Linked DNA regions of Saccharomyces cerevisiae S288C. Changing the gene in region 4 together with the main gene of any one other region gives a genetic interaction. Each region holds a gene or a part of one and is shown on either strand. Other genes may lie near its edges.

Region 1 (4,017 bases), on a different chromosome or scaffold from region 4:
AACTACAACGTGAGCAACAACAGAAAAGAGAGCAAAAGCAAAAAAATGCCAATAAAAAAAAACAAAATGAACGAAACGTGAAAAAGAGCACACTTTTTGGTCATCTGGAAACTACTGAAGAAAGAAGAGCGACAATTTTAGCTTTAACCAGTGCAGTATCATCTCCAAAAACTTCGCGAATCACCGCTGCTGGGTTGATGGTCCCCGTGGTGGCTAGTGCATTATCAGGATCTAACGTATTAACGGCTTCTTCCTTGATGCCCGTGGGTCCAAACGCGTCGTCTACTGTATCTGCATCAGCTCCAGCTTCAACAACAACGACTCTTCCTGCCTCTTCTGCAGCACTCTCTGCCGGTACCAGTTCTGCGTCAACAAATACTCCAACAGCTATACAACAAGAGATTGCTTCATCAAACGCTTCTGATGTTGCCAAGACATTGGCATCTATCTCGTTAGAGGCTGGTGAGTTTAATGTCATTCCCGGTATATCGTCAGTGATCCCTACCGTGTTAGAACAATCATTTGACAACTCCAGCTTGATATCGTCTGTTAAGGAACTTTTATTGAATAAAGACCTTATCCATCCGTCGATATTATTATTAACTTCTCATCTAGCACACTATAAAATCGTGGGATCCATCCCACGTTGCATAGCCATGCTAGAGGTTTTCCAAATTGTTATCAAAGACTATCAAACACCTAAGGGAACTACCTTGTCACGTAACTTAACAAGTTATTTGTCACACCAGATTGATCTTTTGAAAAAAGCTAGACCTTTAAGTGTTACTATGGGTAATGCTATCAGATGGTTAAAGCAAGAAATTTCATTAATTGACCCATCTACCCCCGACAAAGCCGCCAAAAAAGACCTTTGTGAGAAAATTGGGCAGTTTGCTAAAGAAAAAATCGAACTGGCTGATCAACTAATTATAGACAATGCCTCTACACAAATTGAAGAATCTACTACTATTGTGACATATGGTTCATCAAAGGTTCTAACTGAACTGTTACTGCATAATGCAATCAGTTTAAAGAAAAACATCAAAGTGATTGTCGTCGATTCGAGACCACTATTTGAAGGGCGGAAAATGGCAGAAACTTTAAGAAATGCTGGTGTCAATGTTATGTATGCACTTATTACAAGTTTGGATACGATATTCAATATGGATGTGGACTATGTGTTTTTAGGAGCCCATTCTATCCTATCTAATGGGTTCCTATATTCAAGAGCTGGGACAGCAATGTTGGCTATGAGCGCTAAGAGAAGAAATATACCTGTATTAGTCTGCTGCGAAAGTTTGAAGTTTTCACAAAGAGTACAATTGGATAGTGTCACATTTAATGAACTGGCAGATCCAAATGACCTGGTTAATATAGATTACGAAAATCCAGTCGAGAGACGCGGTAATAAAGGTGCGTTATTAAACCAATTTATCAAAGAAAGAAAATTTGAAAAGAAAAAGCTAGCAATGGAGAATAAGCCAAAGGGTAATAAAATTGGCGGTAAGAAAGGATCTGAAGGAGAAAGCAAGGACGCCAGTAATGAAGAAGACAGCAACAGCAAAAATATTTTGGATGGTTGGCAAGAGTTACCTTCGTTAAATATTGTCAACATCTTATACGATTTAACACCACCAGAATATATTAAAAAAGTGATCACTGAATTCGGCGCTTTGCCACCTTCATCTGTCCCTGTTATTTTAAGAGAGTACAAAGGTTCCGCATAAGCATATACAACATTCGTTAATGGTCGTCCACGTGTGTATACTACATATATATTATATATATATATATATATACATATATATATATATTACACCTAATACGATGAAAAAATACATCTAATGAAAAGAATTGTTTTTATCCTTAGCTTTCCAAAAAGCTTGGTATATATAACAAGATTTAGGCTAGAGAAATGATGTAATTATATAGGGCTATATACAGAGTAAAAGAAACAAAAACGGAGAAAAAAAGCAAGCAAAATGTTACTCTCAGTCATCGATATCGTTAGCTTCAGCAACCGCATCAGATTCGGCCTTGCTTCCAACAACTCCTTTAACGAAAGAAGCCACATTAGCAGGAGGCAAGATGGCAATCATTAATATAATATATTCGTAAATGGCTTCAGGAATGGATCTTTGGTAAATTCCCAATAAATCGGCTGGCTGAGGGTATACAGTCAATGCTTTATAAAACTTAGAGGCTGCTTCCAGTTCCTTACCTTGTTGCATGGATAATCTTTCACCATTTTCTACGTTGGTGGTAAATGTAGCTTCTCTTTCGGAGGGATCACTAGGGATGGGGTCCTTGGCTAATTCCATGGATAAGAATTCGGTAACCTTTTGCAGCTTCACTTCCTTAGCATGAGTTTTAGCTTGTTCTTCCATCTTGGCCTGCTCTTTGGCCCTTTGTCTCAACACTTTCCTGAATTGCGGGCTATTTCTTCTTTGATAGTCAAAGTAGATAGCATAACCGGTGGCTGATAGAGCTGCTATGGCTGTTGTAATAGCGAGGCCACGTAAGATAGGGTTCGACTGGGACATAATAGAAAATAAACTTTATGAAGGTGGCACTTGAGGCAATGTTTCTTGTAGGTCTAGGCGAAGGGACAATAGGTAAATAACGTAAATGTCGGCCATTATCAAGGTGAAATATTCCTGTATAAAAAATGTTATTCGGCGCGAGAAACTGAACGGGGTGACGCACTGCAAATTTTTCATGTTTTACATACTCAAGCATTACAGACTCGATGAGCAGAGATAAGAGACAGGAAATCCATTGAATATAGAAGCATAGATAAGCGATAATGGTTGCTAAGAAGAGAAACACGCTTAGAAGCAAAGTAAGTGCAAGAAATAGTCAAAATTTTGGACCAGACGTAGCGAACAATGGCATTCTGGACGAGAGTTATGACATAGAATCTGATCCAAGGGCCTTTCTGCACCAACCTAAAGAAACTAAAAAGGAAAAGCTACTTAACAGACAGAATACTTTCTTATCTAACTTGAAGGGGAAATCCACACTTAACGATGGCATAGCTGCCAATTTTGATGGTATTTCTAAATCTTCCATTAGACGTAGGAAAAGAAAGCTAAGAGAAGAACTAAAACCAAGAATGCAAGATCTGCTCACTTCTTTGGAGCAAGAAAAGGATTTACGGGGCATTATTGAAAATAGTAGCAAAGACATGAATAACGATGATGACATCGACATGGATTCTAAAATAAGGTTTGTGGACACAAAGGAAATGAACTTGAAAAAGATAGAACCTGGTTCTGTTAGGATAAAAAAGAATCAGCCAAATATCAGGAACCAAAAGGGTGCAAAGGCATTGGCTGCTAACGAAACTGCAAGATTCAATCAGGTCCTAACCAATCAAGATTTCCAAAAAAATCCATTTGGCGCCTTAAGAGAGGTTATCAAGCTGCAAAAACAATGAACATTAAATAGCATAGCATAACAATTTTTGCCAGTGTAATATATATTCCAGCAAACCTAGAAAAACATTCAGTTTCATATTTAGAAGAATAAAAACGTATGTATTGTTGGTCACACATATATAGATGCCATTTCTATCTCTATGTTCTTCTTTTCCTCAATGGGCCCTTTGGTTTGTTGAATTTCAAATTGCTTTTGTTTGGGAGATCTGGATTGGATCCATGATCGAGGCTATCTTCTTTATTTGTTGCCATAAGTAAGGACTTGTCTAGTTCCACAAAATCGCCAATTTCTACCACTTTACTAAATGCGATTTTTTGATCATTTTTCAAGTAGTTGATAAATCCATTCTTGTTAGAAGCATATATCATTCTATCTTTGACTTTGCTGCCAGAGGGACAAGAGTAGATAAAGAAACTTGAATCACCCTGCCTGAAAATCGTGTAACTTGGCCCGGGCAAGTCAATGTACAGTTCATCTACGGAGGGACATGTATCAGATTGCACGATCTGGATGGTTTCGTTCGAGGGATCGATTTGAAATATGATTAAATTTTTACCCTCGCTATCCAGTATTTCA
Region 2 (9,409 bases), on a different chromosome or scaffold from region 4:
GGTTTTCGGAGTCTCTTTCTAACGCATGATTAATAACTTCATCAACGATAATGTCAGTTAAGCGGCCATCATCTAAAAGTAGCAACCAAACATATTGCATGTATACGGCTTTAAAGTCAGTCTCTCTCACAGAGAGCCTGATAAGAATTCGGAAAATGTGAGATATGTTTTCGGGGCCTTCTTCATCATCAGCCAAATACACATGTTGGTATAAATTAGGGATCCAATAAGACAAACCGCAAATGGTATGAGGGATGTAAACGTGAGGAATTACGTTGTTCTTCAATGCCTCCAAAACATAGATAAACATATAGGCTGTGAGTTCTGGATTAGACTCTGCAAGAGACTTTCCAATAACACCTAAAAATGTTGTAGTATCTTCGGGGACGTACACCTCGGGAGAGCGATGAAAATGGGAGCCAAAGTTCAAACCAAATGACGCCTCAGTGGCAGCTATTAGGTTATACGAACTGTTTTTCATTTTTTTACTCTCATCAAACAGACCAATAAGAGATACTAACAGTAGGTGGCACAATAGTTTTGTTCTCTCTTTCTGCTGTTTGTCCTTGTTGTTTGAATTTGGGGAGGAGGTACTCGAATTATTATCCATTTCATATTCACTTTCTAACCGGATCTGTGCGTAATAGAACATCTTCACAATTTCAAGGTATTTCGGACTACTAAAAATCAACCTTCTCTCGTCCTGAAAAGTTACTGTAAATTCAGCTGCCACTCCAGTTATTGACGAAACATGTACTTCAAATATTCGGCTAATTTCGTAGACATCATTGAATTTTACGTCGAATAAAGTACCCATGTCCCTTATTTTATATTGCCTAGGAGTTTCATGCAAGACTTGAAAGTAAATATCGCCTATTTTCAACGATACCGGCGTAAATCTATTTCTTTTTTCGTCATAAAGCGTGATATCATGCAGAGAGACACGAATATCTTGCAGAACCTTCAACCCTTGTCCAGTTATACCCACAGATTTCATAAGTCCTTCATCAGAGTTACTATTAATGAAATAATGAGGAATTTTCGAGGAAACATATACGTTGTCTTTGTCCAAACATTTTCCATAATTATCCATAAATGTCTCGTTTACGTTAAAGTAGTAACAGCCTATACAATTTTTGGGTGCAACTTCTGGTAATAGTCCCATAACCAAAGAAATAAATTTCCTCATATCAAGCCCTCCCTCGTCAAATTCTGTACAGTCGATTATTAAACAGTGTTTGGTGGTCCAGATTCGAGCATAAATTTGCAAGAACTTGTAAGCAACTGTATCAATGTCCACATGTCTGTCTGAGAAATTTGACATTGTTAACGTAATAATTGGAATGCCTTCACTTGAGGTGGACTCGTGAACGCTTGGGCTGTACGCTGTTGAAGTCTCAATGTTTCTGAACGCGTGCCTATTCATGAACTCATACAGTTCCGGATAGTCGTCCATATGTTCTCTTATGTATATTGGTATTTCATTGGAAAATTCCATTTTAGGTTGGCCTAATTGGCCAAGAACATCATCAATAAGTAAAAATGTGGTCTTATAGAAATCGTCACCATCAATGTCACCATCATCATGTTTTGCTTCATTTAGCACATTCCTTCTCACCTCAAGACCGTAAAGGTAAACAAAGGAATGAAGGAATTGATAGTCAAATGCAATTGGCGTTGGGTCTGTTCTCACTTGGATGTCTATCGTGCGATCTGTTCTACAAAGTTCAGCTAGGAATCTGAAAATTCTATCGCTACATTCCTTAAGAAAATCCTTTTGGGAACACAAAGCTGGCCATCTGGAGAAATTTTCTGAGCCATTGGCAATATTTTGGATAACTTTAGCCAAGCTGATGAAGGTACGCTTTTCGCTCAAGTGAGAAATATCTATGATATTTTCAGAATCAGGGCTGACTAAAGCAGGACAAAAAAACCGTAAAAACACGAAAGACCCAGCGGCGATAATTGCGTGATCCGGAAATTTTTCACACGCAACTTTATAAATGTTTTGGCAAATATAAAATAAAGGAGGGGGAAAATAAGATACGGAGTTGGATATGGATTCCAATAATTCATTCATGTATTTAACGAAGAGCTCTATTTGACGTTCAGCATCTGAATCTTCCGGTTTTAGTTTCTCAATTTCAAAAAAATCTCTGTTCTGGATAATTTTTTTTAGTAATGGTTGCAAAGTGCGAATCAAATATTCGTTACCCTTGGACCTGGCTAGCATAGATAATGATCTCGTAGCACAGCTATTTCTTCTAAGGATATCCGTAGGTCTGGAAGATTTTTCAATTTCATTTTTAATCAACTGTGCCACTACAATGTGGGTGGCATTCCTCGTTTCAAATGCATTTATTAAGCCAGCAGCATAAGCATCAATATCGCTAGCGGGACAAACCGCTGCTCCAAAGGACGATAGCTGGGGATGTTCAATCGTATATCGCAAAAATTTGTCTGCTGCCTCTAATTTTCCAAGGTCAGTTTTAGCCGTGTATGTCCGATAGTTCGTAACGATATTAATGAAGACCTCCAAAAATGCATTCCTAATGTTTCGATTTCCGGAATAGCCCATCGGTAAGGTGAACTGCAAACTCGCATCAACATTGGTGTTTGAAAGATTTGTTAATGAAAGTATTACATTGTCGTTGAGGACACTCATTTTGTGCCTCAAGAATACTGGGTAATTGTCACGATCACTACTTTTTTCAAGGCCTTTCATTAAGATGTTGAAATAAAACCCAAATATCACAGACCTAGATCGAGATAGTTCGGGATCTGACGCGGCAGGTGGAATCTCTAAGAAAGTATGTCTCGTGAGGTACGCAATAGCGGTTGAAGCTTCGATTGCCGTATCTATGTATAGAATATCCATGTCTCTTTTTACCAAATCCATTTCTTTTAGAGGTTTTGACAAGTTTTCGAAATCGTACTCTCTCGCAATACTCACTTGAAACCAATCAGTGATTTGCCTCAACCATTTATTTTTAACGTGAAAATGATTTTTGACACCTAAATTAACCTCTGAGTGCTGCAAGGCACTGAACATTTTGGTCATTTGAATAATTGCCTTGAGATATTTTGGACAATAGGCTGGTATTTTTTTTATTTCATCTGTCAATAAATCAATAAGATCTACAATCTCTGTGGAAAAAAGCATCATTACATAATTGTCATCATCACGACCTAGGATTGTCCGCAGCATTTTGATTATTTGTTCTAATAAAACATAGGAACTTTCATTTTCTGGTATTGATAAGTCTGAACAAGCAAGTTCTTTTAACTTGAGCCTCAAATTATTAAAAAGTAAGTTAAAAGACAAAGGATGCAGTTCTACACTTAGAATATCTCTTGAATTTTCTCTCGTTAATAAATCCGGATAGTTTAACCATTGGCATTGTTTTGAGATAAAAGAGTCTATATTTTTTTTCAATTCTGAAACGGTGTCGAGTAGGTATGGATACATTTCTTGCAATATCTTTTTATTGATGAATAGGATACCCGACAAAGAGGCTAAAATACCCGCGAAATTTCTGAAGTCGTTCCGTTCTTGTTTTTCTAAACTTTTACTGTGTGTGTAAGTATGCCACTTCTTATAGATCATCCTCATAGAATCAAGTAAGATAGCGTTAGGAATAGTAGCAAATCGTAAAATATTATTTCTTGTCCTCCTTTGGAAAGCAATTGAACCAGAAGTTGTGTAGTTGTCATGACACATCGCTTCTACAAACTCAATATTATGAACCCAAGTTTTATCAGCATCATCAATATTCCTCTCATGAAAATTGATTGCAGAAAGATACTCTGTGTAAGCAATCTTTAAAGTCTTTTCAATTTTTTGTTGACTAGAGTATAATGAAACAAATAGGGCCCTACCAACAGTCCCCATAATCAGCGGAAAGGTGAGTTTTTCAGAATCACTTATGTATTCCATGTGGTGTGAGGCCTCCGCGATCCCTGCTAAATGTGATCTAACCTTCATAAACTTGACAGTTATATCCAAGAGAATTTGACGCTTTTCATTATTAATTTTCAAATCGAAAAGGCCCATTGCAAATAATGTTACAGTGTAACTGCAAAGAAGATGATACCCTTCAATACTGATATTCTCATCTGATTCACCATAAGTAATAACATTCGATAATAAGGTATCCATGAATGATTGAGCAGTATTCTGTAAATCTACATCCGGACTTACGATGGCGACGAAAATCGGTTTCATAATATTTCTAAAATCCTGCGAAACCCATTGTAAATTCGAGTTTATATTGTGAGGAATGATGAAGTAACTATTCGGTCTCTTAAAAATACTGAAAATATTAATCATTATTCTTCTAGCATCTTGAAGAGTTGCTTCATTCAAATCTTTTGGTATCAAATGTTCTTGAATGTAATTATTTGTTGATTTCATGAATTTTCCTAAACTTTCATCGGAATAACGCCTCGTTCTTATTTTCTGCAAAGGCGATCGAATTCCGAATGCTGCCGACGATAATGGAGTAGAATTTGTTATGGCCATTGGTGTGGCACTGATGCTTTCCGTTTGCGGACGTTGTACTGGTGAAGATTTTTCCGTTCCTGGAGGTGAAGTCAATGTAGTCGGTATTTTATTCCTTATAATACTAGATGGCCCACCTAAAGCATGACGCGCTCTTGGGGCCACAAGATGTGACAAGTATGGATCAGAAGACAAGTTCTTTGGTGAACTGTTTAATGAATTAACGTTGTCAGAATTTCTTGAAGTACTTGAACCAACTAAAGACAGGGTGTTCATTGGACATATATCAGTATCCAGTCCCAGCGGAGAAACTGGTGTCATTGAACTTTGAGATGTAGATCCTGATCTTGACCGGGTTGTCGAACATAAAGAGGGTGAGCTCCCCTTGAAATGTTTCTTCGTACCATACTCATTGATAATTGTACCGTCAAGAATGGAAGCAACTATGTCGGTGATTTGCTCATCAAAATACGGAAATTCTTGTAAAAGAATATCTGCTATAATGGAGAATAATGTTTTGAAAAATTTAGAAATTTTAACCGCAATTGCCTTCCGCAATTCCTTCTTACTTGGTATGTCGAAGAATATCCTGAATCCTTCAGTATAAAGGCATAGCTTCTGCATGTTTAAATTGTTGGCCATTGTATCGATGCTCAGACGTGCCAGTAATAATTCATGATCGAATTGAATAGCTGAAGAGAAGAATATTAATTGTAATTGAACAAACGTGGTGGAGTTTTTTTTCAAACAAACCATCAAACTGTTATTTATTTTTGAATTCCAGTCTTGACCGACGCTTAAATTTGTCCCCATTATGGGGATGAGTCTCTTGGCAAAAAGTACTGAGGGTAAGTTTCTATCCACGAGAAAGACCGCAGAAGTCATTGTAAAGAATGATAGTAAGGCCCTCATTGTATCTAAGAGGGCAACATCTGATACAGCTTGATTCCCATTTAAATTTCTTAGCAACATCTTCACAAATTTTACAGTTTTTTTGGTTGAGGAAGGTAAAGAAGTTAATTTCTTTAAGCCTTGTGTAATATGTTTTATACCCGAAGTCTTTTCGGAACCTGTCTCGTGTGCAGTATTATTGAAAGAACTTGTTCTTTCTTTTGGACGATGCATAGTACAATCAGGAATATATTTGAATGATGTAGCGTTTAATTCATTAAAAAGGTCAATATCGAACATTGTCAAAGTAGTTAAAAACTTCAGTACGGATGTGTGTGGTAGTACCTCAGTATCATCAAAGTGCGTGTATAACTCCAAAACATTATCCAAACGAGTGACAGACAAAAAATGTTCGTCATAATCCTTACCAGTATGGCCAGTTTTGTGTGCATCGTATGAAGCGCGACTTTGTTGCTCTGCTGTGTATCCAGTTGGGGTGGAATTCGATGGTGAAGCAGCTGCGGCGGCGGCTGCAGCTGCTGAGTTCAACCGCTGTTGCAATTGTGTTGTTGGAGTTGGAGTTTGAGATAATAATGAAGATGCACTAATAGTGATGTTAGACATCGTGGGAGTATCTGGTAAGGAAGGGTCATATTCTCCTGGTTGAGTGTGAGTAGAGAAATCAGTTGTTGTTGAATTAGACGTTGAAGATGACAGTGAAGTAGAGGATTGAGAGTTTGTAGTCCATGAAGAATGTAGTTTTCTTTCAGACTGCTGTTGAATGTATGACTGGTGGTGAGAAAGCTGACGACTTAAGGATTTTGCTATTATGTTTTGATTGTTGTTATCCGATGATGATGAGCTAGGTGGTGACGATGGCGAGGAGGACGAAGGGGAAGATGAGCCTTGATGAGCATTTTGATTGGTGGTTATCATGCTATTCACATTAAAAGTCGAATGGATCTCCTCGAAAAGTGTATGGTTTAACGTGTTTAAGGATTTCGAGTGTTCATTGTTATTATCTTTTAATAAGTTGAAGAGTTCATAATATTCCGCAGGCCTAGCCATTATCCAAAACATTATTGCTTTGGCGCTGTAATGCAAAAGTAGGCAATGATAAATCGTTTTCCTTAACGTCACCGATAAGTTTTTGATGAGTTCCAAGTATTTCTTAAAATTATGCTTGCTTAAATAGATGAAGCTGAAAAGATCAAAGTGGGGCACTATGCTGTTATAAACGGAAGATGGCAAAGAGTGTGAATGGGAGTGTGAATGCGTGTGTGTCTGTGTTACGGGCACTTGCACACTCTTTCTGATAAATTCAAAATACTCGGACGGATTGGAAGCCGCTACAAATCGGAGAATATGGCCTAGAGTAGAGTCAATCATTTTACAATGAGAAGGATGGTTGTGCCTTGTCAGATAGGATTTGTGGCGGGGAAGAATCGAGGAACTCAAAGTCGTTAGAATGTTTCCATGAACATGACTGATCATATTTTGTAAAATTTGCAAAGTTCTTGTATTGAACTTCAACTTCGCGCAACTCTCAAGCAATTTCGATGCCAGTTCCGGTATCAGTGCCTGAGGTTTGCTCTGGTGGAAAAAGTGTTTGTTGCCATTGGAATGAGTCGACGAGTAGTCGGGCAGAATACTGTTAAGCTTTGGTCTGTACTTCTGTTCTTGGTCATGTTCTACGTGAGTCGAAATGTCGTTGTAATGAAGGCTTTCTTGATTTTGCCAATTATACTCTAGCGCATCACTTAACAATCTTAGTATAATCAGTATTGATTCAATAACGTCACTGCTACCCTTATCTGAAATGATTTCGTGCCCTTGAAGAAGCGATTCTATCAACTCCAAGGTGCCTTCCACCATAGCATTTGCATCTCGGGAAACGGTAACGTTAATGAGCACAGATCTGCATGAAATGAATGAGGAATACTCTTCCACTTCCGAATAGGTACTTAGATTAGACTCCACCGGAAGGATCGGGAGAATTCTTTCAAAAAGAATATGATTAACCAACGTCCGAGTCATGCGGGATGACTTGGAATCGGTCCCGTGTTCTTTCTTCTTATTCTTAGTGGGCTGGGACATGCTTCTCCCTGAAGAAAGATAATGTATACAGTTTAGTTGATATCAAAAAATGGTGTAACGTTGGGGGAAAAGTAACACTAAAGGAGAAAAGCAAAACGAATAACAGAGGACAATGCTATATGCTAGTGTGCTAAAATGTGGTTAAATGTTTGCTACAATTGGTGAAAAAGTACTTAAGCCTTGTTCTGATTTTGTTTTCGCTTTTTCGGTCTTTTGTTTCCCAGGAGCTCTAGACAATGAAGTAAGCGGAGAGAATGTAGGGCAATAGGATGTGCTTAACTCCCCGGTTATATGTAGAATAGATAATCGTTGGGCAAAACTTTTCACAAGAAGACACAGCAAAGCTTGGGGTTTTCAAAAAGGCGTGCGAGCTTTATTGTGATGGAAATTTTCGTTTCATCAAGGGAGCGTTCTAGAAGAAACGAGAGCTCTACGAACATTTCTGCGCCGCGGATTGATTCACCGATCGGGTGACCCTTTTTGAGGAGCTACTTTGGGTTGGAATCACACTAAAATGTGTAAGGCGGTCAGTATAGCAAAGAACTTGGGGTGGGACGCTGGTGCCGTGCAAGAAAGGCTACGTGAACCTCGTACTAGTCCAAGATATTGGCTCGATGCATTAATGGCAGACTCTTATCTCGCTAAGATGTTTGAAGGCACATCGGTTCTAGAGGTCCAAGTCCCAACCCAAGTCAAGGCCAAGCAAGGCAAGGGGATTTAGAATAGTTCTATCATTCTGCGGGGAATGAGCGGAAGAGTAAGAGTATTGGTTCTGTTGTGGATGACACTTACAAGGGTAACTACTGTTTTTCTTGTTTTCTTATTTTCTTGTTTCCCTGCTTTTCTCTGGGATCTGTGCGGAAGGCGTCATGTCCCTGCTCGTCCCTGATTGTCCGTACTTTTCTGGTTAGCCGTATATCGTTTGAAAGTAGATGGCATGTATGAAGAGCATGATGCTAGGTGATAAGTAATGAGAGGCCTTAGGAAGTAAAGAGTTTCGAAAAGGGTTATTTTATATTTATTGTATTTATTATATTTAATATATTTATGTGTATGTGAAAAGGTACTCATTGCTGTATAAAAATAGAGTTTGACCTAGAGTTCTTCCCAAGTCAGGGCTTTTTCATTGTCGTCACCGTCATAAGAGAGTGAAATGGATGTACTGATGATACTAGAGTCATCCAGTTCTGGTAACGTATCGATTTGAAAGGAGTAAAATGGCTCTTGGGATGCCTGTAAACTTTCTGCAGATAATCTTGAAGGTGGCCTTAAGTTAATCATTGGAGAAGAGCCATACTTGCCCAAGAAGATCACTTCTCCATACTGATTTTCAATCTCGATAGTGGAGCCGGCCTCTAAATCAAGTGCGTATGGAAAGTATCGGTATTCCTTGTACTCCTTTATTCCTATTTCATGAGGACCCATGTCAATAATTTGCGTGGTTGGCTTATCGCCAGCGTCAGTAAACTTCAGTTTGCAGTTGCCTGCCAAAACAGAGTTTGTGTTGTTAAACAACTGGAAATACAATGAATTGTCCCTTTGGTTCATTGTGATTTGCAATGAGCGCTCATTTGGGGGTTCCACTTCTATTTTAGTTTCCTTTTTCGAATGGTCAGAGGCGATTTCCGTCTTACTGTCACATTCTTGTGATAACCTCTCATAGTCATGGTAACGTTGAAAAACGTCCTCAAGTTGTTTGACTGTTTTCAACTCTGTGAAAAAGTTCACTAGTTCGGACCTATCTTCTGGTATGTCAATCGTACCGCTTATTCTGTGGTTAGGTTCTTTATTTGTGACCTTTTGCTCCAATTCCAACTTATTTAACGATTCTTCCAACTTAAGGAGTTGTTTCATGAAGTTATCCAAGCATTCTCTTGACACAACCACATTAGAGGTGGAATTAGGGCTTATCTCTTCTTC
Region 3 (8,221 bases), on a different chromosome or scaffold from region 4:
CAGCCAGAGGTACCGTTGCCTTCGGTTCCGGTTTGCACGGTTGGGCTTTCACTATCCGTCAATTCGCCACCAGATATGCTAAGAAATTCGGTGTCGACAAGGCCAAGATGATGGACAGATTATGGGGTGACTCTTTCTTCAACCCAAAGACCAAGAAGTGGACCAACAAGGACACTGATGCTGAAGGTAAGCCATTGGAAAGAGCTTTCAACATGTTCATCTTGGACCCAATCTTCAGATTATTCACTGCTATCATGAACTTCAAGAAAGACGAAATTCCAGTTTTGCTAGAAAAGTTGGAAATTGTCTTGAAGGGTGACGAAAAGGACTTGGAAGGTAAGGCCTTGTTGAAGGTTGTTATGAGAAAGTTCTTGCCAGCTGCCGATGCCTTATTGGAAATGATTGTCTTGCACTTGCCATCTCCAGTCACTGCTCAAGCCTACAGAGCTGAACAATTATACGAAGGTCCAGCTGACGATGCCAACTGTATTGCTATCAAGAACTGTGATCCAAAGGCTGATTTGATGTTGTACGTCTCCAAGATGGTGCCAACCTCTGATAAGGGTAGATTCTACGCCTTCGGTAGAGTTTTTGCCGGTACTGTTAAGTCCGGTCAAAAGGTCAGAATCCAAGGTCCAAACTACGTTCCAGGTAAGAAGGACGATTTGTTCATCAAGGCCATTCAAAGAGTTGTTTTGATGATGGGTAGATTTGTCGAACCAATCGATGACTGTCCAGCCGGTAACATTATCGGTTTAGTCGGTATCGATCAATTCTTGTTGAAGACTGGTACTTTGACCACCAGTGAAACTGCTCACAACATGAAGGTCATGAAATTCTCTGTCTCTCCAGTTGTGCAAGTCGCTGTCGAAGTCAAGAACGCTAACGACTTACCAAAATTGGTCGAAGGTTTGAAGAGATTGTCCAAGTCTGATCCATGTGTCTTGACCTATATGTCTGAATCCGGTGAACATATCGTTGCTGGTACCGGTGAATTGCATTTGGAAATTTGTTTGCAAGATTTGGAACACGACCACGCTGGTGTTCCATTGAAGATCTCCCCACCAGTTGTCGCTTACAGAGAAACTGTTGAAAGTGAATCTTCTCAAACTGCTTTGTCCAAGTCTCCAAACAAGCATAACAGAATCTACTTGAAGGCTGAACCAATTGACGAAGAAGTCTCTTTGGCTATTGAAAACGGTATCATCAACCCAAGAGATGATTTCAAGGCCAGAGCTAGAATCATGGCTGACGACTACGGTTGGGATGTCACCGATGCCAGAAAGATCTGGTGTTTCGGTCCAGACGGTAACGGTCCAAACTTGGTTATTGACCAAACTAAGGCTGTCCAATACTTGCACGAAATCAAGGATTCCGTTGTTGCTGCTTTCCAATGGGCTACCAAGGAAGGTCCAATTTTCGGTGAAGAAATGAGATCTGTCAGAGTTAACATTTTGGATGTTACTTTACATGCCGATGCTATCCACAGAGGTGGTGGTCAAATCATCCCAACCATGAGAAGAGCTACTTACGCCGGTTTCTTGTTGGCTGATCCAAAGATCCAAGAACCAGTTTTCTTGGTCGAAATTCAATGTCCAGAACAAGCCGTCGGTGGTATCTACTCCGTCTTAAACAAGAAGAGAGGTCAAGTCGTTTCTGAAGAACAAAGACCAGGTACTCCATTGTTTACCGTCAAGGCCTACTTGCCAGTTAACGAATCTTTCGGTTTCACTGGTGAATTGAGACAAGCTACCGGTGGTCAAGCTTTCCCACAAATGGTTTTCGACCATTGGTCCACTTTAGGTTCTGACCCATTGGACCCAACCTCTAAGGCTGGTGAAATTGTTCTTGCTGCTCGTAAGAGACACGGTATGAAGGAAGAAGTTCCAGGCTGGCAAGAATATTACGACAAATTGTAAGAAGTCTAAATGAGAAAAGGTGGTTCTGTAAGAGCAAACCTTACCGCCTTATGATCTTTTTCATTTATTCTCTGCTTTAAAATTTTGTCGTAATAAAAATAGTATGGTAATAGACTTATATATTATTTTCTTACACATTTTTGTCATATAGTTATATTCCGAATGTTTACAATCGAACCCATCATAAAAATGGACCTTTTCGTATTACCGCCCCCTTTGTAGAGGGGGAGGAACGGCAACTTCTTGACTATTACGACGTATCACCACCCCGTTAGATATACTATGGAAAAAACTATTAAAAACCATTATAATTCATTAATGACATCGGTCCTGAGGTAGTATTACGTATAACTTACCTGGCTCTTGGTCATAGCTTTTTATCCGTTTACGAAAAAAGGAGAAGAAGATTGGGCTTCCGCGGCTATTGTTTGGTTTATACCCCGCCGTATGTTGGTGCTTCTATAATTAGAGCGAAATAGGAAATACAAAAAATCCTTGGAGGGGAGGACCAGCCTCATCGGGCTAAAACTCCCTCAAAACCGGAGGGGCAACCAAAGTATATATCTCATTATGGCCGATACTTCTAGAGGCGCACTAACAGAAGCACCTCAGCCCCTGCAGGTGAAAGAAAGAGGTAATTAATTTTCCGGTTACTTACTTTCTCTCGCTATTGGGGAAAGCGTTGGTTCGAGGCGTTGAGGTCGAAGACAATCATTGTTTTCTTCTTATTTAAGTACATCTTTAGAAGAAAATTACACAACTGGAATGAGTAAATCAATACTTGCTTTGTGTTCCCATTGTTAGATACTCTTGTTTTAGCATGTGATAGCAGTATATAATATAACCTGCAAAATAATCGAAACGCGTACACAGGAAAGAGTACATAAATAACCATAGTATATTTCTGGACATATCTTATTACACAACATAAAATAGAATGTTTAACATGAATCTACTTTCTACACCTTCTTCTGAAGAGGGTTCTCCACAGAATAGGTCATCTTCAATGTCTTCTGTTGAGGGCAAGAAGGATAGGGACACCTTTACTAATTTGCAAAACGAATTTGATGGTAAAGTATTTGGCGTCTCACTCGAGGAATCACTGAAAGTTGCTCAAGAGGAAGTAATTATCCAAAAAAGTACAAATGAAATTGGTTCCATACCGGTGGTAATAGCAAAAAGTGGGAAATACCTAAAAGAGAATGCATTAGACACAACAGGAATTTTCCGTATTGCGGGAAGCAATAAACGTGTTAGAGAGCTACAAGCTGTTTTCTCTAAACCGCCCGATTATGGTCGTAAATTTGAAGGATGGTGTGATTTCAATGTTCATGACATTGCAACTTTATTAAAAAGATATTTGAACTCATTAAGTGAGCCTTTGGTTCCCCTAGCATTATACGACATTTTTAGAAATCCAATATTAGAAAACCCAAAAATAAATGAGCACAAAGAACAAATCATTAAGGACTACGAAGATATTTATATGCTCTTACCACAACAAAATCGCCATTTAATACTTTATTTAGCCGCGCTCTTGAATTTATTTGCAAGAAATGAAAAGAAGAATTTAATGTCAGCAAGCAATTTAGCGGCCATCGTACAACCCTCACTTTTGTCTCATCCCAAGGATGAAATGTGCCCGAAAGAGTATGAGGCTTCCAGAACTGTCATCGAATTCCTCATACTACACGCTTCAGATATAATACCGAATACGGAAAAAGCGAATAAGGACACCATGCCGCATGCAGGAACAGTAGCAAAGTTTAACAACATTACCGTTCCTGAAATGGCTATTGACTCCGATGAAGAAGATTTTGTGCACCCTTCAATAGATGACCATATGCTTCCAAGGTCACGTGCACTTTCTGACTCCAACAATTTTACCATACATCATCATCATCATCATCATCATGCACTGTTTCCTAGCCCAATAGATTTTGATAACAATGGGCTTTCTGTACCGAGATCCTTTAAAGGTAGAACATTGAGTGCAGAGTCCCTTTCTCCCAGACTTAGTAAATTACTTGGGAACGTTGGAAACAGCAGCAATACTGGCATCAAAGACCCTACAGAAAGAGTTCCTAGAGGTGAACATAAAACCAAACACAAACAACGACAGTCATGGTTGAGAAGACTCACTAGCCCTTCTAGAACGCAGCCTTAGCTTCCTAAGCACTGTGATCTGCTAGTCGATTCCGAGGTTCGGCGAAGAAATTGTCGTTGCCCCGCCAGGGGCCTTTTGCGATACTCGGCGCTTCTTTCAGCAATCTCGGTCCGCATCTCGGCAAGGGGGGGCATGACACGGGCCGCTCTGGTTGGTCAGTTCCTATTTTCTGTAACTTCCATTGTTTGGTTAAAGAATATATAAGTTATTGAAAAGCTCATAGGTCCCTTATTATAGGCCCTAAGGTTTTAGTTTCTCATCATAGTCATATCAGAAAAACCCTCCTTCTAAAGTTTTCCTCTTTTCTTATTTCTTTTTCATTTATTATTCATATTTATATAAATATATATTCCAAGTGCATGACATTATTGGATACACTTTTTCTGAACCTGAATTACCTTGGTAGATAATAAGATACAGATCGGGAACGAACAACAATTATAATATTTTTTAATAATGTTGAGAAATACTTTTTTTAGAAACACCTCGAGGAGGTTTTTGGCTACTGTAAAGCAACCTTCAATCGGAAGATATACCGGCAAACCTAACCCTTCTACCGGCAAATACACGGTCTCGTTCATTGAAGGTGATGGTATCGGACCTGAAATTTCCAAGTCTGTAAAGAAAATCTTTAGTGCAGCAAACGTCCCCATAGAATGGGAATCTTGTGATGTTAGCCCTATCTTTGTCAACGGATTAACGACCATTCCTGACCCTGCCGTACAATCTATCACAAAAAACCTGGTTGCACTAAAAGGTCCACTAGCTACACCTATTGGTAAAGGTCACAGATCTTTGAATTTGACATTGAGAAAAACATTTGGGTTATTTGCCAACGTTCGTCCCGCAAAGTCTATTGAAGGTTTTAAGACCACTTACGAAAACGTTGATTTAGTTCTTATCAGAGAGAATACCGAAGGTGAATATTCTGGTATCGAACACATAGTTTGCCCTGGCGTTGTTCAATCTATTAAACTGATCACAAGAGATGCCTCTGAGCGAGTCATTAGATACGCTTTTGAATATGCAAGAGCCATCGGCAGACCAAGAGTTATTGTGGTACATAAATCTACTATCCAGAGATTAGCTGATGGTTTATTCGTTAATGTTGCCAAAGAACTATCCAAAGAGTATCCTGACCTTACTTTAGAAACTGAACTTATTGATAACAGTGTGTTAAAGGTGGTCACCAACCCATCTGCTTACACAGACGCTGTTTCTGTTTGTCCAAATCTATACGGTGATATCTTGTCCGACTTGAACTCTGGTTTGAGCGCCGGTTCTTTAGGTTTAACTCCATCTGCCAATATTGGTCATAAAATCTCGATCTTTGAAGCTGTCCATGGCTCTGCCCCTGATATTGCCGGTCAAGATAAAGCGAATCCAACTGCCCTACTTTTATCTTCAGTAATGATGTTAAACCACATGGGTCTAACGAATCATGCTGACCAAATTCAAAATGCAGTATTGTCTACTATCGCATCAGGTCCAGAAAACAGAACAGGTGACTTGGCTGGTACTGCTACTACTTCATCATTCACTGAAGCAGTCATCAAGAGATTATAAAAGTCCTATTCTTTTCCCTCTCAGGTTTTTTCACGCCTTGAAAACAAATGACTATCCGTTTAATATAATGATTTCTGAAAGATTATGAAGTAAAAAAAAGCAAAATGCTTAGATATATAATATATACATACAATAAAAATTCCGTATCTACTCCAAACTTCTATGGCTTTGTCCTCAATGTGTTCTGATGTTTATTTAATAGCCTGAAGTTTTTATTAAGTATGTATACTTTTCGATATTTATTCTTTTAATAATGCTACAGGAGACCATAAGTGATAACTCAAAATGTCCCTCAGTGGACTTGTAAACCAAAAAAAAAAAAAAAGAAAAAGAATTAAATATATTATGTGTAAAAAGAAAACACCACCGTGTGTTATGTATATTTTGTTTATGTCTATCTATCATCTATCCTGCTGGCAGTCAATGTTCACCTTACAAAATTAATCATTGAAATTATTGCTTCCCCTTATAGATGTACTGATAATCGTAAACCTCGTCAACAAGATTGCTATTCCTCTTCCACGAAGTTATTTCGTCCAAAATATCATCCAAGTTAAATAATCTAACGGTTGGATATATACCTTGGATTCTCGGCAAGCCTATACCAGCGGACCCACCGTAACATAACCACATCTCATTTTTTGACTGTAAGCAACAGTCATTATTATGTTCATGTCCGCAACTGACACCCTTTATATTCCAAAGACTCAGGATATCAAGGAAGCTTTTGTAATGTTTGCCATTGATCGTCATTGAAACTTGTCCTCTAGACCTTGGCGTATCTACTGTTAAGGTAGACCTCTCATTATACTGCCCAATAATAGGAAATAAACCATGAGGCCTATATTCCGATAATGGAAAATATTGAAATGCCAAGCCAAAGTCTATTTTCCCAATCAGGTCGTTATAATCTTGTAGGAAATTATTGACGGGCGCAAATGAATCAAAGACGAAAAATAAAGCCTCTGATGGGTTTGTTTCGTCTTCGGTATCAATGTCTCTTTCCAAAAGAGTATTCTTCGTGAGCTTCTTTTTAAATGAGACTTCTATGGCCATATGACCCTCTTCTGATGCAACGTTGTTAAATGTGTAAGGTAAATTCCTGATAAAGTCTCTAATTTGTGCCGATGTGGCCAAATTGGATTCGTCAGAAACACCCAATGAAATTGCGTAGGGTATTTTATTAGAAATCATTGGTTGGACAACTTTCATAATGCACGTTTGATAGTCGATAGTATTATGTGAGTCTAACAAATCACCTGTGATCACAACTAAATCAGGGTTTTCTGATGCGAGTACCCTATCAATAAAATTTACTGTTTTTATTTCATTGATTACGGTCATGCTATTATCCGTACATTTGAAATGAAAATCAGTTATTTGGAGAATTTTGAATGATCTTTGTCCCCTCGAAAATTGTATATGGGGAGATGTTATTTTGTAATCTGCATCGACTTGGATATTAATGTCTTTGCTGGGTGTTCTCAAAGAACCTAGCAATCCATTAGAAAATTTGTGATGATGGTTTTTGGTTTCAAGCTTTCTTGTAATTGATATGGGCAGAGAAGGTATGTTATTTCTATGAAATTCATGGATAACTTCTTTCCAAGAAGGCCTCGATTCAATAAACGATGATCCTAGATATATTTCCAAATTAGTTATAGGAGCGTCATTATCATCATCATTAAGGATATACTTACACCATATGCCGCTCCCCTTGTATACCCACTCCTCACCGAACACAGCTATGTTATCTGTATCAACGGATATGCCGAAAAGCAGCTTCCACCATGACGAAGTAGGCTTTTCTCGTAGATACACATGATTGTGAAAGACAGAACTGTCGCTCGATTTCACCAACTTATTAATGTCTCTCAGCACTTGTAGGGGTATTAGTGCTGAGTCCCTTGCTATGGCTAGTTCTTTTATTGTGTTTTTTGGATTACTTTGGAAATCTTTCAGATGAACATATAAGTAACTGTTGTAGAATGGTCCAGACTGAAGTGAATACAATGTCTCTACAGTAATATTCTTAGAAACTCTGGTCCACAGAATGCTGTTTTTGTCTTTGATCTTTTTAGCAGTATTGGAGGGGTGTAATTTCGGGGCATACAAAGAACTACATTGCCTGTACCAATGGTAGCACCGCAGGATTTGAATATCGTCTATCATTCCGCCATGATATTCTGCTACATTATGATCCATTAATACATTTTTTGCATGTAGCTTTAGTGAATCTCTCGATAAATACAATGAAGTAATGCATAATATAAAAAGTATTCTCCTTAAAAAATTAAATCTTCTTCTATAATGTAATCTCATGCAAATATTTGAAGGGTATTGTTTGCGAAGGTCAATGAATGTGATAAGAGCTAATTGTTGGAAAGTAAAATAATCGAAAGGAATGAGAAAAAGGTAAGTTATTTAAATCTCTTTTGGAAATGAAACTAAAGCAACTTGAAAGAAATTTCAAGAAATAATGAAAACCTCGAATTAATCGACAAATGAAGAGTACTGCAGAACCGAAATTGAAAAAAAAGGTCGTAAAGTTGAAATGAATTGAAGTCAG
Region 4 (8,619 bases):
AAAAACTAAAAAAAAAAAGTGGAGTACAAAAATAAGGTCAAAATACATAGTTAAAATTTTGCTTCTTGATAATGAGATGAGGTAATTACAAGAGTTCTGCTTTCCTTCCCAAACAGTTTATTTTATAGTTGGTCTCTATATCAAGTGTTGAGTAAGTAATCGAATGGAAATTACGTACTTTCAACGCAAGAGCAAGACAAAAGAAAGCCTAAAACTGTCTTTTCGTGTCGGTCGTCCAATATCATCGTAAACGTGTGTAGAGCCTTAAATTCTAATTTCTAACTTTAAATTTTTTTTGCTATTATAATACTAATTTCTAACTTTCAACCTATTTTACATCTTCGGAAAACAAAAACTATTTTTTCTTTAATTTCTTTTTTTACTTTCTATTTTTAATTTATATATTTATATTAAAAAATTTAAATTATAATTATTTTTATAGCACGTGATGAAAAGAAATATAGTCTTCAAGGTTATATTATACAGGTTTATATATTATTTTACTTATTTTTGTTGTTCTTTTTCTTGGAGTATTTAGCATTAACAACTTCGACAGGTTCCATAACGCTTCTATCCTCTAGTTTCACATAGGTACCGACTACTTTACCTCTTCCATCGCCCAAATTAATAATTGTCTTTGAGAAGTTGTTTGTATTTGCTGTGGGCAAAACATCTTTAAAAATATTGCATACTGCGGCCTTAAGTTCGTAGTGTAACGTCAATGCTTCAGTAGCTGTCGTGAATTTTATTGCCTTATAGTCATCTACAGTAGGTTCTTGCCAATCCATTTCAGGAAATTTACAATCATATAACAATAATGGTATATCATTTGCCATTTCGTAAACAGGCCTTTGAGGGGTTTTCTCAATATCAGTCAGACGCAAGACAATTTCCGGCACTTCAAGTGATTGACCAACTAAGAAAAGAATGGCCATCATGCAACGAACTTGGTGCCATAGGAATGCTGAACCAACGAGATCAAAACAATAGAAAGTTTCAGAAAGGGGAAGAATTTTTGAGCTTATTATTGTTCGTTTAAAATTGGTAATTTGTTTTGAGCCATCAAGCTTACAAAAATTCCTGAAGTCTCTCTCTCCAACAAAATATGATGCGGCTTTAGACATTTTTTCAATATTAAGGTTTTTTCCATTAAAGATGTACTTATAGTGCCGGTGAACACAGCTGAATCTTGCGTCAAAGTTAGGTGGCGGTCTGAGGCAGACAGCTGATATACGAATATCGTCGGGTAGTAATTGATTTAAAACGTGAACATAGGGTATTTCCCTGCTGTCGTTGGTCGGATCCCGCTGTTCCTCATCTGTTAAATTGGAACGGACTTCTAACGATATAACTTGGTTCATGGCGCTAACTCCCTTGTCTGTTCTGCCACATCTGCTAAATTTATAGTCTTGTAAAACCATCGAGGGAACAAGTTTACACTTATTCATGGCCTCCAAAATGGTACCCTCTACTGTAGGCAACGGTGTGTATTCCTTCTGAACAGCTAAGCCATTGTAATTCCATCCCAAATAGGCAAATCTCAAGGCGATGAACCTGGTATTATGTTTAGAAAAGTCAAACTTCTTCGGAGCCTTTTTCGCCTTGCTTCTCGTAACCTCTTCTTGCGAAATTTTGCGCTTTTTGTTATCCTCGATGTGCTGGAATTTTTCAGAATGTGGCTTATTTGCGTTTTCTAGTTCAGTGATCCTTCGTATTAGCTGCTCTTTGGACCAGTTTGCGTAAATGGAGTCCTTCTTACTAACAATAGCATTGGTACCTGTTGAAATCGCTTTCATTTTCCCAACTAGCCTTCTAATGAAATTACTCATTCAAGGGAGGTTATAGTAGGGCAGTAAAGATTGCATGTGGGCACCTCGAGAATACTATATTATTCTTTATTTTGAGCCGGCTTTTCGCTTTCAAAAATTTTTCACTGAAAAACAAAGTGAGCTTTTCAAGATGAGCTGAGCCCATTGATTTGAGGTGTAGTAAGATAATATTAAAAGCTCAGCAGCAATAAAAACAATGTCAAAGTCATTGGAATGGGATAATCTCGGGTTTTCTTTACTTCCCTGGATAAGGACAGGACTCGATGTTATGGGTTTTGAGACCATGACTCCAGTCCAAGCATCGACAATTCCCATGCTTGCTGGCAACAAGGATGTAGTAGTTGATTCTGTAACAGGCTCAGGTAAGACCGCTGCGTTTGTTATACCTGTACTAGAAAAAGTTGTAAAGGAAGAAGCGAATACATCAAAATTCAAGAAAGCACACTTCCACTCGTTAATTATTGCTCCAACAAGAGAATTGTCACGCCAAATTGAGTCTGTCGTTCTATCATTTCTGGAACATTATCCTTCCGACTTGTTCCCTATTAAATGTCAGCTCCTGGTTGGTACTAATGAAGCCACAGTTAGAGATGATGTAAGTAATTTTCTGCGGAATAGACCGCAGATTCTGATTGGAACACCTGGTAGAGTTTTGGACTTTTTACAAATGCCAGCAGTAAAGACGTCAGCATGCAGTATGGTAGTTATGGATGAAGCAGACAGATTGTTGGATATGAGTTTTATTAAGGATACCGAAAAAATTCTGAGGCTATTGCCTAAACAAAGAAGGACGGGTCTATTTTCTGCAACTATGCGTAGCGCCGGATCAGATATCTTTAAGACAGGGCTTAGAAATCCTGTCAGGATTACCGTTAACTCTAAGAACCAGGCGCCCTCCTCTTTGAAATTAAATTACTGTGTCGTAAATCCTGCCGAAAAACTACAACTTTTGGTTAGCATTTTGAATAACTACAAATTCAAGAAATGTATTGTATATTTTCCAACATGTGTGTCAGTCTCCTACTTCTACTCATTTATCCAGTATTTGGGAAAGAGGAATATTCTCGTGAATGAAGTAGAAATATTTTCCTTGCATGGAAAACTTCAAACATCGGCAAGGACAAAAACTCTAACAGCTTTTACTGATTCGCTAAGTAATTCTGTTTTATTCACAACAGATGTGGCTGCTAGAGGTATTGACATACCCGACGTTGATCTCGTCATCCAGCTTGATCCCCCTACCAATACTGATATGTTCATGCATAGATGTGGTAGAACTGGTAGAGCAAATAGAGTGGGTAAAGCAATTACGTTTCTTAATGAAGGCAGAGAAGAGGATTTTATTCCTTTCATGCAAGTTAAAAATGTGGAACTTGAAGAACTTGATTTGGAAGTAAAGGGCATAACAACAAACTTTTACGAGGACTTTAGAAATTGGATACTAGAAGATAGGGATAGATTTGATAAAGGTGTTAAAGCATATGTTGCCTTTATTAAATACTACTCAAATCATTCCGCAACTTCAATTTTTAGGCTTCAATCTTTAGATTATGTTGGTATTGCGAAATTGTATGGTCTTTTCCGCCTGCCTAGAATGCCTGAGATAACAAAGTACTTAGCCACCGAAAAACAAGAAGGGATTTTCCCAGGGAATTGGTTGGTCGATCCCCCAGTTAATATGGATGAATATAAATACAAGGACAAAAAACGTGAAAAGGAGAGACAAGAAACATTAAAAAATATAAGCCTGATTAATGATAAAAAGAAGCTGAAAAGTGAGTTGAAGAAGAAGAATTTAGCGTGGTCAGATAAAACATTGACGAAAGAACGGAAACTCGAGAGAAAGGAAAAGATGAGTTTAAAAAGGAAGGCTATAGAGGAAGAATTGAAAGCAGAAGAGCTCGATGAAAATGCTGAAGAAGAGCGTATTAAAGAGGATTGGAAAGAAATCGTTTTACAGAATAAACGGAAGAAAGTTTCCAGCAAAGCTATCCAAGGCAATTTTGACGACTTATAATTATGGAAAAAAAGTTACCTTGTTCGTAGAATCACTCAACATTCTTAACCAATGGATGATCTTGTAGCATCATAGTGAGTAAGTAGATTATTTGTGTATGCATACTTAATTTAAAATATTCTAAAACCATTATACTCCATCTTAAAGCATAATATATATCTCTTGTTCAGCATGTACTTGTAACAGGAAAAGGATATTATGTTCAGAAATAATCAAACAGCCTCAATACTGACATCAGGCAGTCGACAGGAATAACTTCAAAATAAGTTCCGATCACAACGTTATTGTAATGGAACCAATGATCGCTCATTGATTAGTATTCATATTAACACTATATTAAAATTGAGTGTGAGTAGATGGCACAAAGACTGAGAAATAATCATCAAATTTAATGGAAGCCGAAATGCAAGACTTGATAATGTAATGGAATAAAGAGTGGCGACAATAATATGAAAAAGAAAATATTAATAACATTATATAGAAATATGGGCTTCCTTTTTTAGGTTATTACATCCTTGGGAAGAATTTTTAATATACTTTGATTCCCTTTAATAACAATGGAATGCCAACAATTATCCTAACATTGACCCGTTGGTAATTAGAGGTTAAGAAGTAGTGTTAATGAAGATTAAATATGGATCTTCTTATACTATATAAGAGAAGTATAAAACACACGCTGATTTGTGTATTATTACTTATGATCAATGTAATAGTAGTTCTGGAACTTGTCATACATTTAGTTTGACTAGTCATATTACGCGTATATATAACGACCAGATCATGTCAAACCTACGGTTCTTCAATACAGATTCATTACTTTCTTTAACAGGTATATTCATACTTAAACATATATGCGGTATGTATTCATGCACGATGCAAGCATTCAAAATGTTACTATGGCAATTGATGACCACTTGTTCCAAATAGTAACCGTACATTCATTAGTGAGTATAATTCTACCATAAGTATAAATGGTAACATATAAATATTCCGAGATCATCACGGGATTTGTCACGCAGCGGATTTATTTCAAATATTAAGAGAATTTGAGATCTGAATTTAACTTTAAATTTATACTTTTTCTCCTATTTCTACGTAGCTAATCTCACTTTGTAGTTTCCTTGAATATTGCTTTGGACTATACGTCTTTGTTTGTTTCAGATATAGTCTCTGAGATATTGGTGAATTTTGAGATAATTGTTGGGATTCCATTGTTGATTAAGGCTATAATAATATGTATACTGTAGAGAATGTGGATTTTGATGTAATTGTTGGGATTCCATTTTTGATAAGGCAATAATATTAGGTATGTAGATATACTAGAAGTTCTCCTCGAGGATTTAGGAATCCATAAAAGGGAATCTGCAATTCTACACAATTCTATAAATATTATTATCATCATTTTATATGTTAATATTCATTGATCCTATTACATTATCAATCCTTGCGTTTCAGCTTCCACTAATTTAGATGACTATTTCTCATCATTTGCGTCATCTTCTAACACCGTATATGATAATATACTAGTAACGTAAATACTAGTTAGTAGATGATAGTTGATTTTTATTCCAACATACCACCCATAATGTAATAGATCTAATGAATCCATTTGTTAGTTAATAGTTTAAATGTTTTTATCGGAAGAGGTTTTGTCATCACATCAGCAATGTTCTTCTTGGTCTCGATGTAGTATACGTATAAATTATTACCTGATACTTCATCTCTAAGTCTCATTGCCTTTGTGCCAAAAAATCTGTTTCTAAATTTCTCTTCATTTGTAGACTTAATTATACTGATCGTTGATCTACTATCAGTAAGTAAGCCTTTAATAATTGGTTTCTTGTTAAGTTCTTGCACAAGGTGACTGAGGTTATTCAATAGCGGAATAGCTTCACTGACTGCGTGTATTTCTGCTTCTGTAGTTGAAGTGCATGTTAACGAAGCCTTTGTCGACTTTCCTCCAATCACTTTTCCGTTGAGTAGGAAAATGTTACCAATTTGTGACTTGTAATATGGTTGGTTACCATATGAAGCATCGCTTATTGCGACTAGTTTATTATCTGGCTTGGTAGGTTTGTTTTTGTGCCATATTAATTGTTTATCTCTAGTGTCCCACATGAATTGTATTAACTCATATGTCATGTCTAAAACTTGCCTAGAGGGGAATAGTATATGTTGAGCAAGTGTGTTGATGTAGTATAGTAAGTCAAATCTAAATTTATATCCAACATATGAAGCTAGACCAATCAACTTTTGCATTTCATGTACTTTCTCTTTGTATTCATCTTCATCTATTTCTAGTTCATCCTGGTCTATATAATGACCTGGTTGACCTGGAGCTCTAAGTTTCTTTCCTTTTGGGTTCAAAGGTACGTTTAGTTTGGGTAATTTTTCTGTCAAGGATTTTTCCATACCTAATTTCATGTACTTGCTTCTTTGATATTTGATCTCTAATCCAAGTATGTCGTACTGAATTTCGTTATCACTTTCACCCAGATTTATTATCTTTGTATCGTATTGTTTCTTGAGTGTTGTTATGATTTTCTTATTTGCATTTAAGTCTTTGCTGAATAATATCATATCATCAACGAATAAGCAAATTGTTACTTGACTATTCTTAAATACGCATGACCATCCGCGAACTTCTTGCATGTCGCAACAATTTATTAAATATGATTTAATGGTTTCATACCAGTTTGCACCACTTTGTTTCAAACCATAGAGTGATTTTCTCAAACGTAGTAATTTATCATTCAAACCTAAATGTGGTGGAGGTCTTATGTATAATTCTTCTTTGATATCAGCATATAAGTAAGCAGAGGATATGTCCAGCTGTGTGATATAATAGTCGTTGTCTAATGCGATTGACAGTGACGTCATCAGTGCATAGTGATGTACGGTATTGGATTGCATATCAGAATCATATGTATCGGGGTGTTGAATGTCGCCTCTTGCAACAAATCTAGCTTTGTGTGTACCATCACGTTTCTTGTTAAATATAAACATTGAGTTTATTACTTTTTTAGGATCTATGTCATTTCTATCATAATATTTGTTTGTATCCCAAGTGTTCATTTTCAATAGTTGGCTAATTTCTTTATGATAAGCTTCAACATATCTGTCTTTTTCTTTGTTGTCTTTATTATATGTAATTGCTTCATCATATCTTAAGGTCGTTCGAACTGGTTTGATCGATTTCACTCCTTTTATTGCTGCAATTAAATTTATGCGTTTCTTCGATCTTGGTGGTTCCAGACTTCTCATATTCTTATTATTCCATGTGTCTCGGGATACCTCAATTTCAGTTTCATTATCTTCTAATGATCTTTTCTTACTTTTGGTAGTAGTCAGAACATTAGAATCATCCATACCACCCAAACTGGAATTAGTCTGACGAGAGTGTATGTGTGGAATATCTTTTGAAACATCAGAAGTGTCCGTAGGAGATTTATGGGTTAAGTCAGGAAGTGGGAGGTCGTCAAGAATAGAATCAGCCGTAACATTTTTTGAGGATTTGTCAGGCATTATATTAGGAGTCGCATGGTCAGAAGATCGATATTCTGGCGGATCCGTATCAATGGAGGGTGTATTATCACATACAGCCTTTGTTTCTATGGAGATGATGGGAGTAGTGGATTCACTGTTGGACGAACGGTCATCTATTGAGGGCGTACTATTTGTAGTCCTGTATTTGATATTTGTATCACTATTTCGTTGAATATATGGTTCCTCCGTACCACCCAAACGTGTAGTTTTGATGTTTTCAAGTCCATAATTAACTCTATCCTGTGAGGTCAAATCAATCATCTCATTGGTACTACCAGGTCGGTTTTGGTTTCGTGCAGTGAAGGTAGACGAGTGTCTAGGTGAAGTAGTATCTGATTCAACGGTACCACCCATTTCGGTACTCTCTTTATTAATGATATGGGGTGTACGAGATCGTATAGTAGATGGAAGAATATTGTATTCAGATATGTCGGCATCAACTTCTTTTGGTGCACGTACTTTTTGGACTGGTTCCTTGTCTAATTGTAAAGGGTTTATTGATTGGGACGAGAAGTCGTTCACTAGAGGATCAGAGTTTATTTCAATCTCCGATTGATAGTCATGATCAGATTCTGTATTTTGATCATATGACTGCTCCGTTTCATTTTGTTCAATAAAAGATTGGTTATGGGCTGTTAAACGATTGAGATCATCATCAAAGGTGAGTGTATCATAATTGAATTGGTCCAATTTGGATTGCTTGTCTTGTAATATAACGTAATTGGTAGTATCTACTGTCTTTTTTAATGATGGAAGATAGATAATATAGCCATAAGAGTTTCGTGACGGATGTAAGGCGTAACCTGGAATGCCACGAGGATGTATTTTCGAGTCGGGATTATGGTTGTTAACTATAACCGGTTGACCGAAAGGTAGTATAGTAGTAATGTCCAGTCCAGCTAAACCTGCATGTTGTCTTGCAGATTTATCGTTTTTTGGTGAGACTAATGAATTTCTGATTATAGTAGAAAATTCGACTGCTGAGAACCATAGATGATTTGGTAGACCACTGCAATGAAGCAGTGTGCGACAATCGTTTAATAAAGTACGATTTAATCGTTCAGCGACACCGTGTGCTCTAGAATCTGCCGTGGTTGTATAGCATGCAGTAATACCTCTGTTCGTAAAGAACTTATGAAGAGTTTTGTTAGTGTACTCGGAGCCACGATCCATCTGGATAACTAGAACGCGAGCATTGAATTGGTTCTTAATAAATGCTAATATCGA

What was found.
Region 1: mutations in DEG1 (region 4) and SLX9 together harm fitness more than expected from each alone (negative genetic interaction), as found in Saccharomyces cerevisiae (4 studies listed by BioGRID, with this or other methods).
Region 2: mutations in DEG1 (region 4) and IRA2 together harm fitness more than expected from each alone (negative genetic interaction), as found in Saccharomyces cerevisiae (3 studies listed by BioGRID).
Region 3: mutations in DEG1 (region 4) and IDH2 together harm fitness more than expected from each alone (negative genetic interaction), as found in Saccharomyces cerevisiae (4 studies listed by BioGRID).

Annotation. Positions count from the first base shown.
Region 1 is NC_001139.9:642,570-646,586, reverse strand, and holds SLX9 (Slx9p), read left to right. Parts: upstream 1-2,806; coding exon 2,807-3,439; downstream 3,440-4,017. Other genes in the region: GCD2 (translation initiation factor eIF2B subunit delta), read left to right, coding at 1-1,727; TOM complex receptor protein TOM20, read right to left, coding at 1,992-2,543; twinfilin TWF1, read right to left, coding at 3,579-4,017. UniProt on the Saccharomyces cerevisiae protein: Involved in ribosome biogenesis. Required for normal pre-rRNA processing in internal transcribed spacer 1 (ITS1). May be involved in the movements of the replication forks.
Region 2 is NC_001147.6:169,150-178,558, reverse strand, and holds the start of IRA2 (Ras GTPase activating protein IRA2), read right to left. Parts: upstream 7,490-9,409; coding exon 1-7,489. Other genes in the region: ATG19 (Atg19p), read right to left, coding at 8,585-9,409. UniProt on the Saccharomyces cerevisiae protein: Inhibitory regulator of the Ras-cyclic AMP pathway. Stimulates the GTPase activity of Ras proteins.
Region 3 is NC_001147.6:575,708-583,928, forward strand, and holds IDH2 (isocitrate dehydrogenase (NAD(+)) IDH2), read left to right. Parts: upstream 1-4,542; coding exon 4,543-5,652; downstream 5,653-8,221. Other genes in the region: EFT1 (elongation factor 2), read left to right, coding at 1-1,919; GTPase-activating protein BAG7, read left to right, coding at 2,857-4,086; SIA1 (Sia1p), read right to left, coding at 6,106-7,974. UniProt on the Saccharomyces cerevisiae protein: Performs an essential role in the oxidative function of the citric acid cycle. Also binds RNA; specifically to the 5'-untranslated leaders of mitochondrial mRNAs.
Region 4 is NC_001138.5:140,341-148,959, reverse strand, and holds DEG1 (pseudouridine synthase DEG1), read right to left. Parts: upstream 1,830-8,619; coding exon 501-1,829; downstream 1-500. Other genes in the region: ATP-dependent RNA helicase SPB4, read left to right, coding at 2,026-3,846. UniProt on the Saccharomyces cerevisiae protein: Formation of pseudouridines at positions 38 and 39 in the anticodon stem and loop of transfer RNAs.